4 linked regions of the Saccharomyces cerevisiae S288C genome follow. The protein of the gene in region 1 binds, or shares a complex with, the protein of each later gene. Each region holds a gene or a part of one and is shown in the gene's direction. Other genes may lie near its edges. The genes, in order: TIM9, TIM18, TIM54 and TIM12.

The links.
Region 2: the proteins of TIM9 (region 1) and TIM18 are in contact, whole or in part, in a cryo-EM structure (PDB 6LO8), measured with the Saccharomyces cerevisiae proteins. Residues at the interface, in NP_010894.1 of Saccharomyces cerevisiae: Asp42 (codon at 2,149), Thr44 (codon at 2,155), Thr45 (codon at 2,158), Ser46 (codon at 2,161), Lys47 (codon at 2,164), Leu48 (codon at 2,167), Thr49 (codon at 2,170), Asn50 (codon at 2,173), Lys51 (codon at 2,176); in NP_014940.4 of Saccharomyces cerevisiae: Val105 (codon at 1,926), Asn107 (codon at 1,932), Pro108 (codon at 1,935), Glu165 (codon at 2,106), Thr166 (codon at 2,109), Lys167 (codon at 2,112), Asn168 (codon at 2,115), Asn169 (codon at 2,118), Lys177 (codon at 2,142).
Region 3: the proteins of TIM9 (region 1) and TIM54 are in contact, whole or in part, in a cryo-EM structure (PDB 6LO8), measured with the Saccharomyces cerevisiae proteins. Residues at the interface, in NP_010894.1 of Saccharomyces cerevisiae: Lys65 (codon at 2,218), Glu68 (codon at 2,227), Arg69 (codon at 2,230), Gln72 (codon at 2,239), Arg73 (codon at 2,242); in NP_012481.3 of Saccharomyces cerevisiae: Glu76 (codon at 2,671), Met78 (codon at 2,677), Glu79 (codon at 2,680), Val80 (codon at 2,683), Lys82 (codon at 2,689).
Region 4: the proteins of TIM9 (region 1) and TIM12 are in contact, whole or in part, in a cryo-EM structure (PDB 6LO8), measured with the Saccharomyces cerevisiae proteins. Residues at the interface, in NP_010894.1 of Saccharomyces cerevisiae: Gln13 (codon at 2,062), Val16 (codon at 2,071), Lys19 (codon at 2,080), Gln20 (codon at 2,083), Lys22 (codon at 2,089), Asp23 (codon at 2,092), Phe24 (codon at 2,095), Met25 (codon at 2,098), Leu27 (codon at 2,104), Tyr28 (codon at 2,107), Ser29 (codon at 2,110), Leu31 (codon at 2,116), Val32 (codon at 2,119), Glu33 (codon at 2,122), Cys35 (codon at 2,128), Phe36 (codon at 2,131), Thr37 (codon at 2,134), Val40 (codon at 2,143), Asn41 (codon at 2,146), Asp42 (codon at 2,149), Phe43 (codon at 2,152), Thr44 (codon at 2,155), Thr45 (codon at 2,158), Ser46 (codon at 2,161), Lys47 (codon at 2,164), Leu48 (codon at 2,167), Glu52 (codon at 2,179), Gln53 (codon at 2,182), Ile56 (codon at 2,191), Met57 (codon at 2,194); in NP_009649.1 of Saccharomyces cerevisiae: Asp27 (codon at 2,343), Ala28 (codon at 2,346), Ser31 (codon at 2,355), Asn35 (codon at 2,367), Thr39 (codon at 2,379), Glu42 (codon at 2,388), Lys43 (codon at 2,391), Cys62 (codon at 2,448), Arg65 (codon at 2,457), Cys66 (codon at 2,460), Ala68 (codon at 2,466), Lys69 (codon at 2,469), Met70 (codon at 2,472), Tyr72 (codon at 2,478), Ser73 (codon at 2,481), Asn74 (codon at 2,484), Leu76 (codon at 2,490), Ile77 (codon at 2,493), Gly78 (codon at 2,496), Phe80 (codon at 2,502), Val81 (codon at 2,505), Arg84 (codon at 2,514), Phe86 (codon at 2,520), Gly87 (codon at 2,523), Pro88 (codon at 2,526), Gln91 (codon at 2,535), Leu92 (codon at 2,538), Arg93 (codon at 2,541), His94 (codon at 2,544), Tyr95 (codon at 2,547).

The regions. Positions count from the first base shown.
Region 1 is NC_001137.3:115,186-118,214, forward strand, and holds TIM9 (protein transporter TIM9), read left to right. Parts: upstream 1-2,025; coding exon 2,026-2,289; downstream 2,290-3,029. Other genes in the region: Arf family guanine nucleotide exchange factor GEA2, read left to right, coding at 1-615; URA3 (orotidine-5'-phosphate decarboxylase), read left to right, coding at 982-1,785. UniProt on the Saccharomyces cerevisiae protein: Mitochondrial intermembrane chaperone that participates in the import and insertion of multi-pass transmembrane proteins into the mitochondrial inner membrane.
Region 2 is NC_001147.6:873,709-876,934, reverse strand, and holds TIM18 (Tim18p), read left to right. Parts: upstream 1-1,613; coding exon 1,614-2,192; downstream 2,193-3,226. Other genes in the region: MUM3 (Mum3p), read right to left, coding at 1-1,336; YOR296W (uncharacterized protein), read right to left, coding at 2,864-3,226. UniProt on the Saccharomyces cerevisiae protein: Component of the TIM22 complex, a complex that mediates the import and insertion of multi-pass transmembrane proteins into the mitochondrial inner membrane.
Region 3 is NC_001142.9:331,820-336,201, forward strand, and holds TIM54 (Tim22-complex subunit TIM54), read left to right. Parts: upstream 1-2,445; coding exon 2,446-3,882; downstream 3,883-4,382. Other genes in the region: ZAP1 (Zap1p), read right to left, coding at 1-1,254; LOG1 (Log1p), read left to right, coding at 1,538-2,275; retromer subunit PEP8, read left to right, coding at 4,079-4,382. UniProt on the Saccharomyces cerevisiae protein: Essential component of the TIM22 complex, a complex that mediates the import and insertion of multi-pass transmembrane proteins into the mitochondrial inner membrane.
Region 4 is NC_001134.8:426,587-429,748, reverse strand, and holds TIM12 (Tim12p), read left to right. Parts: upstream 1-2,264; coding exon 2,265-2,594; downstream 2,595-3,162. Other genes in the region: acid phosphatase PHO5, read left to right, coding at 1-201; acid phosphatase PHO3, read left to right, coding at 648-2,051; YBR090C (uncharacterized protein), read left to right, coding at 2,691-2,875. UniProt on the Saccharomyces cerevisiae protein: Essential component of the TIM22 complex, a complex that mediates the import and insertion of multi-pass transmembrane proteins into the mitochondrial inner membrane.

The DNA.
Region 1 (3,029 bases):
AATCCATACAAGAAATCGATCGAATTATCATTGAAATCCATTCAACTAACATCACACTTGCTGGAAGATAATAACGATCTGCGTAAAAACGAGATATTCGCTATTATTCAAGCTTTGGCACATCAATGCATCAATCCGTGTAAGCAGATAAGTGAATTTGCAGTGGTAACGCTAGAGCAGACGCTCATCAATAAAATCGAAATTCCAACTAATGAGATGGAATCGGTAGAAGAATTAATTGAGGGCGGATTACTACCGTTGCTAAATTCGAGTGAAACACAGGAAGACCAGAAAATCCTCATTTCATCCATATTAACAATAATTTCAAATGTTTATTTGCATTATTTGAAACTAGGGAAGACAAGCAACGAAACGTTTTTGAAAATTTTGAGTATTTTCAATAAATTTGTAGAGGACTCAGATATTGAAAAAAAGCTACAGCAATTAATACTTGATAAGAAGAGTATTGAGAAGGGCAACGGTTCATCATCTCATGGATCTGCACATGAACAAACACCAGAGTCAAACGACGTTGAAATTGAGGCTACTGCGCCAATTGATGACAATACAGACGATGATAACAAACCGAAGTTATCTGATGTAGAAAAGGATTAAAGATGCTAAGAGATAGTGATGATATTTCATAAATAATGTAATTCTATATATGTTAATTACCTTTTTTGCGAGGCATATTTATGGTGAAGGATAAGTTTTGACCATCAAAGAAGGTTAATGTGGCTGTGGTTTCAGGGTCCATAAAGCTTTTCAATTCATCTTTTTTTTTTTTGTTCTTTTTTTTGATTCCGGTTTCTTTGAAATTTTTTTGATTCGGTAATCTCCGAGCAGAAGGAAGAACGAAGGAAGGAGCACAGACTTAGATTGGTATATATACGCATATGTGGTGTTGAAGAAACATGAAATTGCCCAGTATTCTTAACCCAACTGCACAGAACAAAAACCTGCAGGAAACGAAGATAAATCATGTCGAAAGCTACATATAAGGAACGTGCTGCTACTCATCCTAGTCCTGTTGCTGCCAAGCTATTTAATATCATGCACGAAAAGCAAACAAACTTGTGTGCTTCATTGGATGTTCGTACCACCAAGGAATTACTGGAGTTAGTTGAAGCATTAGGTCCCAAAATTTGTTTACTAAAAACACATGTGGATATCTTGACTGATTTTTCCATGGAGGGCACAGTTAAGCCGCTAAAGGCATTATCCGCCAAGTACAATTTTTTACTCTTCGAAGACAGAAAATTTGCTGACATTGGTAATACAGTCAAATTGCAGTACTCTGCGGGTGTATACAGAATAGCAGAATGGGCAGACATTACGAATGCACACGGTGTGGTGGGCCCAGGTATTGTTAGCGGTTTGAAGCAGGCGGCGGAAGAAGTAACAAAGGAACCTAGAGGCCTTTTGATGTTAGCAGAATTGTCATGCAAGGGCTCCCTAGCTACTGGAGAATATACTAAGGGTACTGTTGACATTGCGAAGAGCGACAAAGATTTTGTTATCGGCTTTATTGCTCAAAGAGACATGGGTGGAAGAGATGAAGGTTACGATTGGTTGATTATGACACCCGGTGTGGGTTTAGATGACAAGGGAGACGCATTGGGTCAACAGTATAGAACCGTGGATGATGTGGTCTCTACAGGATCTGACATTATTATTGTTGGAAGAGGACTATTTGCAAAGGGAAGGGATGCTAAGGTAGAGGGTGAACGTTACAGAAAAGCAGGCTGGGAAGCATATTTGAGAAGATGCGGCCAGCAAAACTAAAAAACTGTATTATAAGTAAATGCATGTATACTAAACTCACAAATTAGAGCTTCAATTTAATTATATCAGTTATTACCCGGGAATCTCGGTCGTAATGATTTCTATAATGACGAAAAAAAAAAAATTGGAAAGAAAAAGCTTCATGGCCTTTATAAAAAGGAACTATCCAATACCTCGCCAGAACCAAGTAACAGTATTTTACGGGGCACAAATCAAGAACAATAAGACAGGACTGTAAAGATGGACGCATTGAACTCCAAAGAACAACAAGAGTTCCAAAAAGTAGTGGAACAAAAGCAAATGAAGGATTTCATGCGTTTGTACTCTAATCTGGTAGAAAGATGTTTCACAGACTGTGTCAATGACTTCACAACATCAAAGCTAACCAATAAGGAACAAACATGCATCATGAAGTGCTCAGAAAAGTTCTTGAAGCATAGCGAACGTGTAGGGCAGCGTTTCCAAGAACAAAACGCTGCCTTGGGACAAGGCTTGGGCCGATAAGGTGTACTGGCGTATATATATCTAATTATGTATCTCTGGTGTAGCCCATTTTTAGCATGTAAATATAAAGAGAAACCATATCTAATCTAACCAAATCCAAACAAAATTCAATAGTTACTATCGCTTTTTTCTTTCTGTATCGCAAATAAGTGAAAATTAAAAAAGAAAGATTAAATTGGAAGTTGGATATGGGCTGGAACAGCAGCAGTAATCGGTATCGGGTTCGCCACTAATGACGTCCTACGATTGCACTCAACAGACCTTGACGCTCACGCCGTAGCGGGCGACAAGTCAAACGGAACAACCGTTGCCGTTCCCATCGGAGTCCGACCTAGGCCGAACTCCGTGAATTTCTGATAACAACGGTCGGTAAAGACTGGTTCCCCAGTATATTTCTTCTCTCAGGAGCAGGGGCCAATGCCAAAAGCGACATTAACCCGGAGGACAAGGCTCCACTGTGTTCCACCGAATTTCCCACCTGATAATATCTGATAACCCGCCCATAGGTGGGGATCCTTCTGTAAACAGGTTTCTTAATCGTAGGAATTACCACTGTTCCACTGCCAATCGCAGCTCCCAGAGTTTCGTTCCCAGCCGCGAGCACCACAGCGTACCATGTGCGCCACGAGGCCTCAAACGTAAAACAATCGAAACGAAAAGAAACAGACTATAGGGGAGTATAGAGACAGCCGGCCAATAAGAAGAGGAAAAAGAAATACTAGCGTTTATCAATGTGGGTC
Region 2 (3,226 bases), on another chromosome or scaffold:
CGAGTAATGGTTGAATTTGATGCTTTTTTACATTTACCATCACAACAATGGGGTCCTTATCCTTTATGTTGTTTTCAGACTCCATTTCTGGTTGAATCATCTCAAAGATTGTCGGAGATATTTGCTCTAATTGATAACCTTTATGAAGTCTCAAATCTCCGTTGGTATGATCATGCCCACTATCAGTATATTTGACTCGGTAATAAATTATGGTGACATCATATATGTATGGATTGATTCGTACCACCTTGGGCTTGCCGCTGCTGATTTCTTCCTTTTTTGTAAGTAAGTATGAATTATCTACGATCATGGGCGGCGTCGTCTTATCGGATACCTTGGAAGACTCCATTTTCATGCTCTTGTGAACTAATTTGTCAAGTTCTCTGTGAAACAGGTATCGGGCCTCTTTGATTATATTGTTACGGTTTTTCTTTCTTTTGATGTTTTTAATTGATGAAAAAGCAGCCATCAAAGTGGTAAAGTTTTTAAATCTTGGGTATAATAAATTATAGAAGTTTATAACAAAGGGAAAATCTTGGTGTAATTTTCTTTGAATAATTGATAGTTCCAAACTCATGATATTGACTTCGGGAAAAATAGTAATAGCTTGATTGTTTTGTCTTTCTAAAATATCTCTTAACTCATTCGATGAGAGTGCGAGTGTTTCATCTTTGAAGAATATGTTCTTTAGTAGATCCAATCGAGGAAAGTTAAACATTTTTCCCCAACCAAGAAATTTTAACTGAGGCCATTCAGCTAGATCTTCCCCCTTCCTCAGCTTTTGTAGAAATTCCCATTTAGTATAAAACTTGGTGGGACAACTTTTGAGAAAAAGGTAATTAATCAATGTGTAGTCATTCACTGATCGATGATTACATATCATTAATGTGGTTTGGAATTTGCTATCTTTAAAAAAGTTTAGGTCATCACTTCCCTCGGTTATGAAAATTTGGACGTTTTTTTTTTTTTCGAAGGTCATTTCAACTAAATGTAGCTGAAACCAAATTTCAATCGCCTCCAGCACCTTGTCTAAAGTTGGTATTATTTTCAGTTTACTATATGTCAGTGCCCTCGAGAGCAGCCGAATTTTGTACTCACCTATTATGGGCACATGCGACCAAAATCTGTCATATAGTAAATGCAGTCTAAGACAGAAGGAATTCGTGTTAATGAACTGTAGGAATTGATTGATTGCAGTAAAAAAAGAATGAAGGTAAAAATAGCCAAAAAGAATAAGCAACCTTGGGGTCAGACTCAACCAATCAGAAATATCTAACTGTTTGAACTGGACCCTAGAACCGACCATATATGTTTCGAAGAAATCAACAAAACCCATCTTAAAGTTATACCTTTCGTTTAGTTTTCTGTGTGGAAAAGAGAAATTTTATTTGATTAAGATTAACAATGAATCTATTATGGTGCATATCTTGCCCTGTTAACTTTCAATTTTTCATTTTGTGTCGCTACATGCCTTGTTGACACTCGGTTTTTTTGAAAAACAAACCATTCTCGCAAAAGATCGGATAAAAATGAAAACTTCCAGACAGTGGAATGCACACATTAATTAACGGTGATGCGAGGTGCAACAACTGAGTAATTTAATACCTTTGGTAATGCTATTGTTTCCTGGCTTGAAGCCTGTTCTTAATGCTTCCACTGTCATTGTAAATCCTGTACGAGCTGTTTTTCCAGGATTAGTACTTTCAACCAAAAGATCCTTTTATAGCATTAATCGTTTAAATGCTGAAAATAAAATAAACGATATTGCAAATACGTCAAAAGAGGCATCCTCTTCAGTGCAGATGTTTAAGCCCCCAGAGTTCTCTCAATTTAAGGACTCTTATCAAAAAGACTATGAGAGAATAGCAAAATATACTTTGATTCCATTAACAATGGTACCTTTTTATGCCTCCTTTACCGGCGGGGTTATAAATCCTTTACTCGATGCGTCTTTATCGTCCATTTTTTTGATATATTTACAGTATGGCTTCACAAGTTGTATTATTGACTATATACCGAAGGAAAAGTATCCAAGATGGCATAAGCTCGCCCTTTATTGCCTCTATGGAGGATCCATGTTGTCCCTGTACGGTATCTACGAATTGGAAACGAAAAATAATGGTTTTGTTGACCTGGTAAAGAAACTTTGGAATGAAAATGATGACCATTTGTATATATTTGGAAGAAACTGACTCACCCATACTTTTTCTTTTTTTTTGCATTTCTAAGATTTCATTTTTAGAGTCAGATTCCCCATGAACTTAACTTAGGAGAGATTTTATAAAAAGACAAATAAGCAATAAAATATATCCTTCTTCTCGAAATCCAGATATATATGTATATATCGATCTGCTTGGATTGGTACAAGACGATCAATTCTTGTCGAGTGAAACGCCTAGGGATACAGAAAGGAAAAGTAGGAATTCGTGATTGCTAGTATTCTCATTCTGTCTAAAGTGCCTTTTTTATTATTATCTGTATGCTTTTTGTTTCTTTAATGATGAGGAACGAATTTTTATACTACAAAAAAATAATGTTTACAATTTTTATCAATGTATTGAAACATTTTAATATTTGTTAGGATTCGCCTTTATTTCACAATCAAAAGGAAACACATAAAAAAAGTGTCATGCTCTACGTGAATAAAGAATTAGTGAAATAATAATAAGGCAATCAGAATACAACTATCGCACTATCTGCGAAACTTTTTACTATATGGGTATAAATGCTAAACGGAAAACTTGTCCATAAAACTATGATTCTTATAATAAACGATGATACACGTTCATTCATTTTTTATCGACGCTCAAATATAGGGTGGAACTGTTTAGTCAGCACCCCATGTATATATATAAAAGAGACTTCAGTTTCTGCCCTTTTTTCCTGTAGGAGTGACCGCTCTACTCACCGCTCTTCTATTTTTCATAGTATTAACAAGTTCTTTTCTGTCATGTAAAATTCGATGAACGTAATCATGTTGGCCTTTCGCGATCAATATTCTCAATATAATATTCATTACTTCTGCATCACGTTCCAGTTGTTCCTTAGGCTCTTTTACAATGTTAGCTACTAGCGACTTTTTTCGAGATATTGTTCCAGCGGATTTATTCGTAAAAGTAATCGGAGTTTTCTTCAGATAAAACCATCTCAAATACTCTTCATATAGGGGAATCAATCGCTGAACTTCATCCTTCAATTCGGAGACACTTTTATCATAAAAAGCTGG
Region 3 (4,382 bases), on another chromosome or scaffold:
TGTGCTCGAACCATCGCAGCCGTTACCGGCATTATTGTGGTCGTGGTGGTTAATGTGTTTTCCAAACGGTACTTCATACAAAGAAGAAATATTGCATAAATCTTCCAAAATCTTCAAATCCATATCAGTATTTAAGATATGTTCGTGATAAGCATGATTTGTACCTTGCAAAGTGTTTGTAGGTTTTCGTAAAGATGAACATTTGGGTGGTAGTTGAGGTGGCTTTGACTCTAAATGCATATGCTTAGAACAAGGTTGATTATCAGTGCTCTCCTCACAAAATTTGCAGTATTTATGGAAAACGTCATCATTATTTGATGATTGATGATCTTGAACAAACTTGTGACCACTAGTCGCGCTCGTGCTAGCCGTGCATGGGGTGTCACAGGTCAAATCGCAATCAATCTCCGATAAGTGAGACATCAGCTGAGAAAAGCTATCTGGTACAGTATTATTGTGATTGTGAGAGTCGTGATTGGTACTATTACAGTACTGATCATGAAGGTTAAAATTTGGCATCAAGTGATCGTTCTTTACATCTGTGAATATTGCAACATCATTGCCGTTCTCAGATATGTCTTTCTTTGTCGGTTGATCAGATTCACCTTGTTTTATATTAGCCTCACTTTTGGGATGAGTTTCGTCACAACATATTTCCAAAATCTTGGGCGTACAATAACAATCATCGGATCCAGGTGGTGGGTTCGGTTTATTTTTCTTGGAAGAGGGCAGCAGTATCAGATCGTCGTTAAACCAAGAATCTTTTCTACGTGGTAGGTCGCTTTTAGAATTCTGTTGGGGACTTGTCGGATCAGAAGCTACCGAATGGAAATTGTTTGCAAAAGAATGATTATTAGAATTATACGTTGCAGTATCATTATATTTTGTTAATGACGGATTATTGTGATAATTCAAGAACTCGAAATGTTGGCAGTCGGTGTACTCCTTGCATTTCTCATTGACGTGGCAATCACCACCCATATCATGGCTAGCTCCAGATGCAAATGCGGAAGTAGCGGCATCAGCAACAGCTGCGGCTGCAGGTGTTGCCGAAGCACTACTGTCGTTCACAGGCGCGCTGTGGTGAAGGTGACCATGGATATAGGTCAGGTTGTTGTAGTTATGGATGTGCCCGTGGACAATGCCTTCTTTACCTATCGTCAGAGCATCAGGCTTGGCAGAAGCAGCAGTGGCCGCACTCGTGGCCATCGAGTCATCGCGCTTGGGGGAGTCCCTGGGAGTCAACGCATCCATTAGTTCCTATCCTTCTTCTATTTAAAAAACCGTAACACATAAAAAGTAAAAGTGTAATGCTTCCGTCTCGCCGCTGGCCTATATTCACAGTGACTGCAGTTGCATCTTATATTGCCAAGCACGTTTCATCATGACCTTTAGGGTAGATGACTGCTGTCAACTACTCCGTCTGCAGTGATATATAATCATGTTTTGGGCGTTTAAGGAAGGAGAATTATTTCCAACAGTTGAATAGGAAGATCCCTAGAGTAAATCGCAGGCAATCCAGTACTAAGAAACGGCGATGACAATGGAAAAAAATGGAGGTAATAGCAGCCGTGGTGGCCAAGTAGGCGGCAAGTCTGTGTGTGTTTACTGCGGGTCTTCATTTGGCGCTAAGGCGCTATACTCAGAAAGTGCAGAAGAATTAGGAGCCCTTTTCCATAAGCTGGGATGGAAATTGGTATACGGTGGAGGCACTACTGGTTTGATGGGCAAGATAGCAAGGTCTACGATGGGACCTGATTTAAGCGGACAGGTTCACGGTATCATTCCAAATGCACTTGTGTCTAAGGAAAGGACAGACGAGGATAAAGAAGATGTTAATAAAGCATTGTTGGAGTCTGTAGAAAATCATAAGGGCGCCACTCCTATTTCTGAAGAGTATGGGGAAACAACGATTGTACCAGATATGCATACGAGAAAAAGAATGATGGCAAATTTGAGTGACGCGTTTGTTGCTATGCCTGGTGGATACGGGACTTTTGAAGAAATCATGGAATGTATCACGTGGTCGCAACTGGGGATTCATAATAAACCAATTATCTTGTTCAATATCGATGGGTTCTATGACAAATTATTGGAGTTCCTCAAACACTCTATTCAAGAACGGTTCATCAGTGTGAAGAATGGTGAAATCATTCAAGTTGCCTCCACTCCGCAGGAAGTTGTTGATAAAATAGAGAAGTACGTCGTTCCAGAGGGCCGTTTCAATTTGAATTGGAGCGACGAAGGTCACGCTCACGAGGATTGTGCTAAATAATAGAAACGTAAGTCATGTATCTAGTTTAAACGATCTGTATAGATAATGTGGTGAAAAATCCAAATTTTTAGGAGCTGTCTTTCTAAGCCCGAAGGCTGGAAAAAATAGTACTGATGGCAAAGACATCATAGCTTTAAAGTCCATTGTTCTCAAAAGAAGCTCAATAGACCATGTCTTCTGAATCAGGAAAGCCTATTGCTAAGCCTATTAGGAAGCCTGGCTATACCAATCCGGCTTTAAAAGCCCTTGGTATACCCGCCTTGAGGCTGCCTTCTCGAAACTGGATGATCTTTTGGTCTGTGTTAACAGTATCCATCGGTGGCATAGCCTATGACAAATACAAGCAACGTCAGATTCTGAGCCATGCAACAGACTTGGTGAAGCCTTTGGCAGAGGAGTCCATGGAGGTAGACAAAGTGCCACGAAAGATCACTGTTTTTATTGCACCTCCTCCAAATGATTATCTGGAGAGTTCGTTGAAAGTTTGGAGACGATATGTTAAGCCTGTACTGTATTATGCAGGGTTGGACTATGAATTAGTTCAAGAGGATAGGCAAGGGATTATTAGAACTAATGTAGCCAACAGAATCAGAGAATTGAGAAAGGAAATATTGGCATCGACGGATGGGCAGCCAGTTAAAGAGCCTAACCAAACGGTAGCAAAACCAAGTGGTTCTTCAACCAGTAAAATTTCATCACTACTACCGTTCAATAAAATCATTCAAGATCCTGCTGAAGAAGATGACTCGTTTGATCCAGAAATCGGTAAAAAGTTCAAGGAGAACTTCGACTGGAGAAACGTTATAGGTATCTTCTATACAATGCCAAAACCGAAGCATATAATAAGTGAAGACGCCCTGACAAAGGACCCTATATTATCTGGTGGTGTTATTTGTTTAGGTAGAGGCGCCTATAAGGAGTACATTGCCGGTATTCACGAAGGCTTGCTTGGACCCATCGAGAAGACCGAAAAAACAGGATCCACTGAGCCTAAGATGACTGGGGTTGTAGAAGCAAATCAAATAGAATCAAAGGTAAGTGAATCCGGTGCTACGGAACTGGTGGATGCCGAGAAAGAGACTGCTTTGGAAGAGGCCAAAGTACAAGATGATCTAAAGGTTGATGAAGAAAACAGCTCAGAGGATTCGCAAAAATTTTTGAAGCCATTTATTTCTTCAGACCAATACCCTGACCTGCAAATCGCTTCGGAATTACAAACTCCAAATGGCGAATTCATAAGAAACCCCAATACAAATATCCCGCTTCTGATTAATCAGCCGTTATTGGTCATTCCAATACCTAACTTGATAGGTTTTACTACCATTCCAAGGAGAATACATCGTTTTTACCAGAAGCGTTTCTACGTAGAGGACGTGTGTTCAAGTGTAGTTAACTGTGTTCGACAAACCCGTATAAGACCGTTTGATATTGCAAAGGATATTGATTTGGCGAAGGACGAAGAAAAAGATTGGCCACAGAACTGGGTCAAACAGGGTAAAGAAAAGAACAGCGAATGGACCCAAGAATTAGTATGTGATCCTAGAATCACGAAGCATATGTTTGTTTACGAAAAACCACCCAAGGAAGAGCCAGAATCAGATATTTAATTGGATATATATTATGTTTTATCATCATGCACGATCGACGTTATGTCTGACATATACCAAACCCTTTTCGAAGATTTCCCTTTACTCATGTTGAAATAGTTTTTATATATGCACACATATACATATATATAAAATCTGTAAATATAATAAAATGTGTACATTGTAAAAGAATCCAAGCACAACTATTATTAGCATTATGAGTATTTTTTTCAAGCCGCCGATTGATATTGAGATCCTTTTCGATAATGAGGAATCTCGCAAACACGTAGACATTGCAACAAGATCAAGTAATTCCAGTTACAAATCAATGAAGGAAAGCTTGCCCGTCTATGAAGATGGCGAATCCCTTGGTGGAATTGTTACTTTGAGAGTTCGGGATAGTAAAAAGGTAGACCACTTGGGCATAAAAGTGTCCGTTATTGGATCCATTGATATGTTAAAATCTCATGGGAGCGGTAATTCATCTTCTAAAAAAGTTACCTCTAGCACATCATCTTCCT
Region 4 (3,162 bases), on another chromosome or scaffold:
GTTGTTCCAATTGAAACCTGTTCCACTGGTCCAGGGTTCTCTTGTGAAATCAATGACTTCTACGACTATGCTGAAAAGAGAGTAGCCGGTACTGACTTCCTAAAGGTCTGTAACGTCAGCAGCGTCAGTAACTCTACTGAATTGACCTTCTACTGGGACTGGAACACTACTCATTACAACGCCAGTCTATTGAGACAATAGTTTTGTATAACTAAATAATATTGGAAACTAAATACGAATACCCAAATTTTTTATCTAAATTTTGCCGAAAGATTAAAATCTGCAGAGATATCCGAAACAGGTAAATGGATGTTTCAATCCCTGTAGTCAGTCAGGAACCCATATTATATTACAGTATTAGTCGCCGCTTAGGCACGCCTTTAATTAGCAAAATCAAACCTTAAGTGCATATGCCGTATAAGGGAAACTCAAAGAACTGGCATCGCAAAAATGAAAAAAAGGAAGAGTGAAAAAAAAAAAATTCAAAAGAAATTTACTAAATAATACCAGTTTGGGAAATAGTAAACAGCTTTGAGTAGTCCTATGCAACATATATAAGTGCTTAAATTTGCTGGATGGAAGTCAATTATGCCTTGATTATCATAAAAAAAATACTACAGTAAAGAAAGGGCCATTCCAAATTACCTATGTTTAAGTCTGTTGTTTATTCGGTTCTAGCCGCTGCTTTAGTTAATGCAGGTACAATTCCCCTCGGAGAGTTAGCCGATGTTGCCAAAATTGGCACTCAGGAAGACATATTCCCATTCCTGGGTGGTGCCGGGCCATACTTCTCTTTCCCTGGCGACTATGGTATTTCTCGTGACTTGCCTGAAGGTTGTGAAATGAAACAATTGCAAATGCTTGCCAGACATGGTGAAAGATACCCAACTTACAGTAAAGGTGCTACCATCATGAAAACATGGTATAAGTTGAGCAATTACACACGTCAATTCAACGGCTCATTGTCATTCTTGAACGATGATTACGAGTTTTTCATCCGTGATGACGATGATTTGGAAATGGAAACCACTTTTGCCAACTCAGACAATGTTTTGAATCCATACACTGGTGAGATGGATGCTAAGAGACATGCTCGTGAGTTTTTAGCGCAATATGGCTACATGTTCGAAAATCAAACCAGTTTCCCAATTTTCGCCGCTAGTTCTGAAAGGGTTCATGACACTGCTCAATATTTCATTGATGGTTTAGGTGACCAATTCAACATCTCCTTGCAGACTGTCAGTGAAGCCATGTCCGCCGGCGCAAACACTTTGAGTGCTGGTAATGCGTGCCCAGGATGGGATGAAGATGCTAACGATGACATTTTGGACAAATACGATACCACATACTTGGATGACATTGCCAAGAGATTAAACAAAGAAAACAAGGGTTTGAATTTGACCTCAAAGGACGCCAACACTTTGTTTGCATGGTGTGCATACGAATTGAACGCTAGAGGCTACAGTGATGTTTGTGATATCTTCACCGAAGATGAATTGGTACGTTACTCATACGGCCAGGACCTGGTATCGTTTTACCAGGATGGACCAGGTTATGATATGATCAGATCCGTCGGTGCCAACTTGTTTAACGCTACTTTGAAGTTGTTAAAGCAAAGTGAAACTCAAGACTTAAAAGTCTGGTTGAGTTTTACCCACGATACCGATATCCTAAACTATTTGACCACCGCTGGTATAATTGACGACAAAAACAACTTAACTGCCGAATACGTTCCATTCATGGGCAACACCTTCCATAAGTCCTGGTACGTTCCTCAAGGTGCTCGTGTCTACACCGAAAAATTCCAATGTTCTAACGACACCTACGTCAGATACGTCATTAACGATGCTGTCGTTCCAATTGAAACCTGTTCCACCGGCCCAGGGTTCTCTTGTGAAATCAATGATTTCTACGACTATGCTGAAAAGAGAGTAGCTGGTACTGACTTCCTAAAGGTCTGTAACGTCAGCAGTGTCAGTAACGTCACCGAATTGACCTTCTACTGGGACTGGAATACTACTCACTACAACGATACCCTATTAAAACAATAAATTGTATAAATAAATAATATTGCAAATATAAATAAATACCCATCGATTCTGATCTTCTTTTATGTACTAGTAGGGTAACGAGTTTGTAGATTAGCGGCAGAATGAAAAGAAAAAAGTTAACTAAAAAGTAAGAACAGCAAAGTTGATTGTAGTCTATATTGCTGAAATAGATATCGGAGCTCCCGTATAATATTAAAGTGCACCAAGAAAAGGATGTCGTTCTTTTTAAATAGTCTAAGGGGCAACCAGGAGGTCTCGCAAGAGAAGCTAGACGTTGCAGGAGTGCAATTCGATGCGATGTGCTCGACTTTCAACAATATTCTCAGTACGTGTCTTGAGAAATGTATTCCGCATGAGGGCTTTGGTGAGCCTGATCTAACGAAAGGTGAGCAATGCTGCATAGACAGATGTGTGGCAAAGATGCATTACAGCAATCGCCTCATTGGAGGATTTGTACAAACACGAGGTTTCGGGCCAGAGAATCAGCTACGACATTATTCGCGATTTGTGGCCAAAGAAATAGCTGATGATTCCAAAAAATAGCTGTAAATATGAGGACTGTCTGTGCTGTTTGTATATAATAGTAACCTGCATATATAGCATTATAAGCTGTGTAGACAATTTTAGAAGTACATTTATATGGTACCCGCACCTGGGTCACGTGCATTCCCCTCACCCGTTTTTTTAGGTGGTGTCTTTTTTGTTTTTTTTTTTAGGTGGCGCGGCAACTATAAAGTACAGCAAGTGAGGTTGAGGCAATACTGGGAGTTTACACTATGGGAGACAGCTCCTAACACCAAGCAGAAAAACGACTTTTTCGCAAAGTATGTAAGGCGCTGGGTGAGCCCAGCGGACGAGGATGGGCTTAATAAGAACGTACAGTTTAGCACAGCTAGAACAGGATACAGCTAAGGGCAACTCTGCTTTTCGGGAGAAGTTAAAGAGGGGTAGACAATGATGGTAATCTTATAAACCGGCTACAATGAAGGTTGTAGCAGCAAGGAAGATGATATTTTAATACGGTTCAGGTGAAATGAAATAGCCGCCCATAACGGCATGCTCAAGTTGTAAGTCAGGACTCTAGCTTTCTACTGTAGTATCCTCTAAAGGA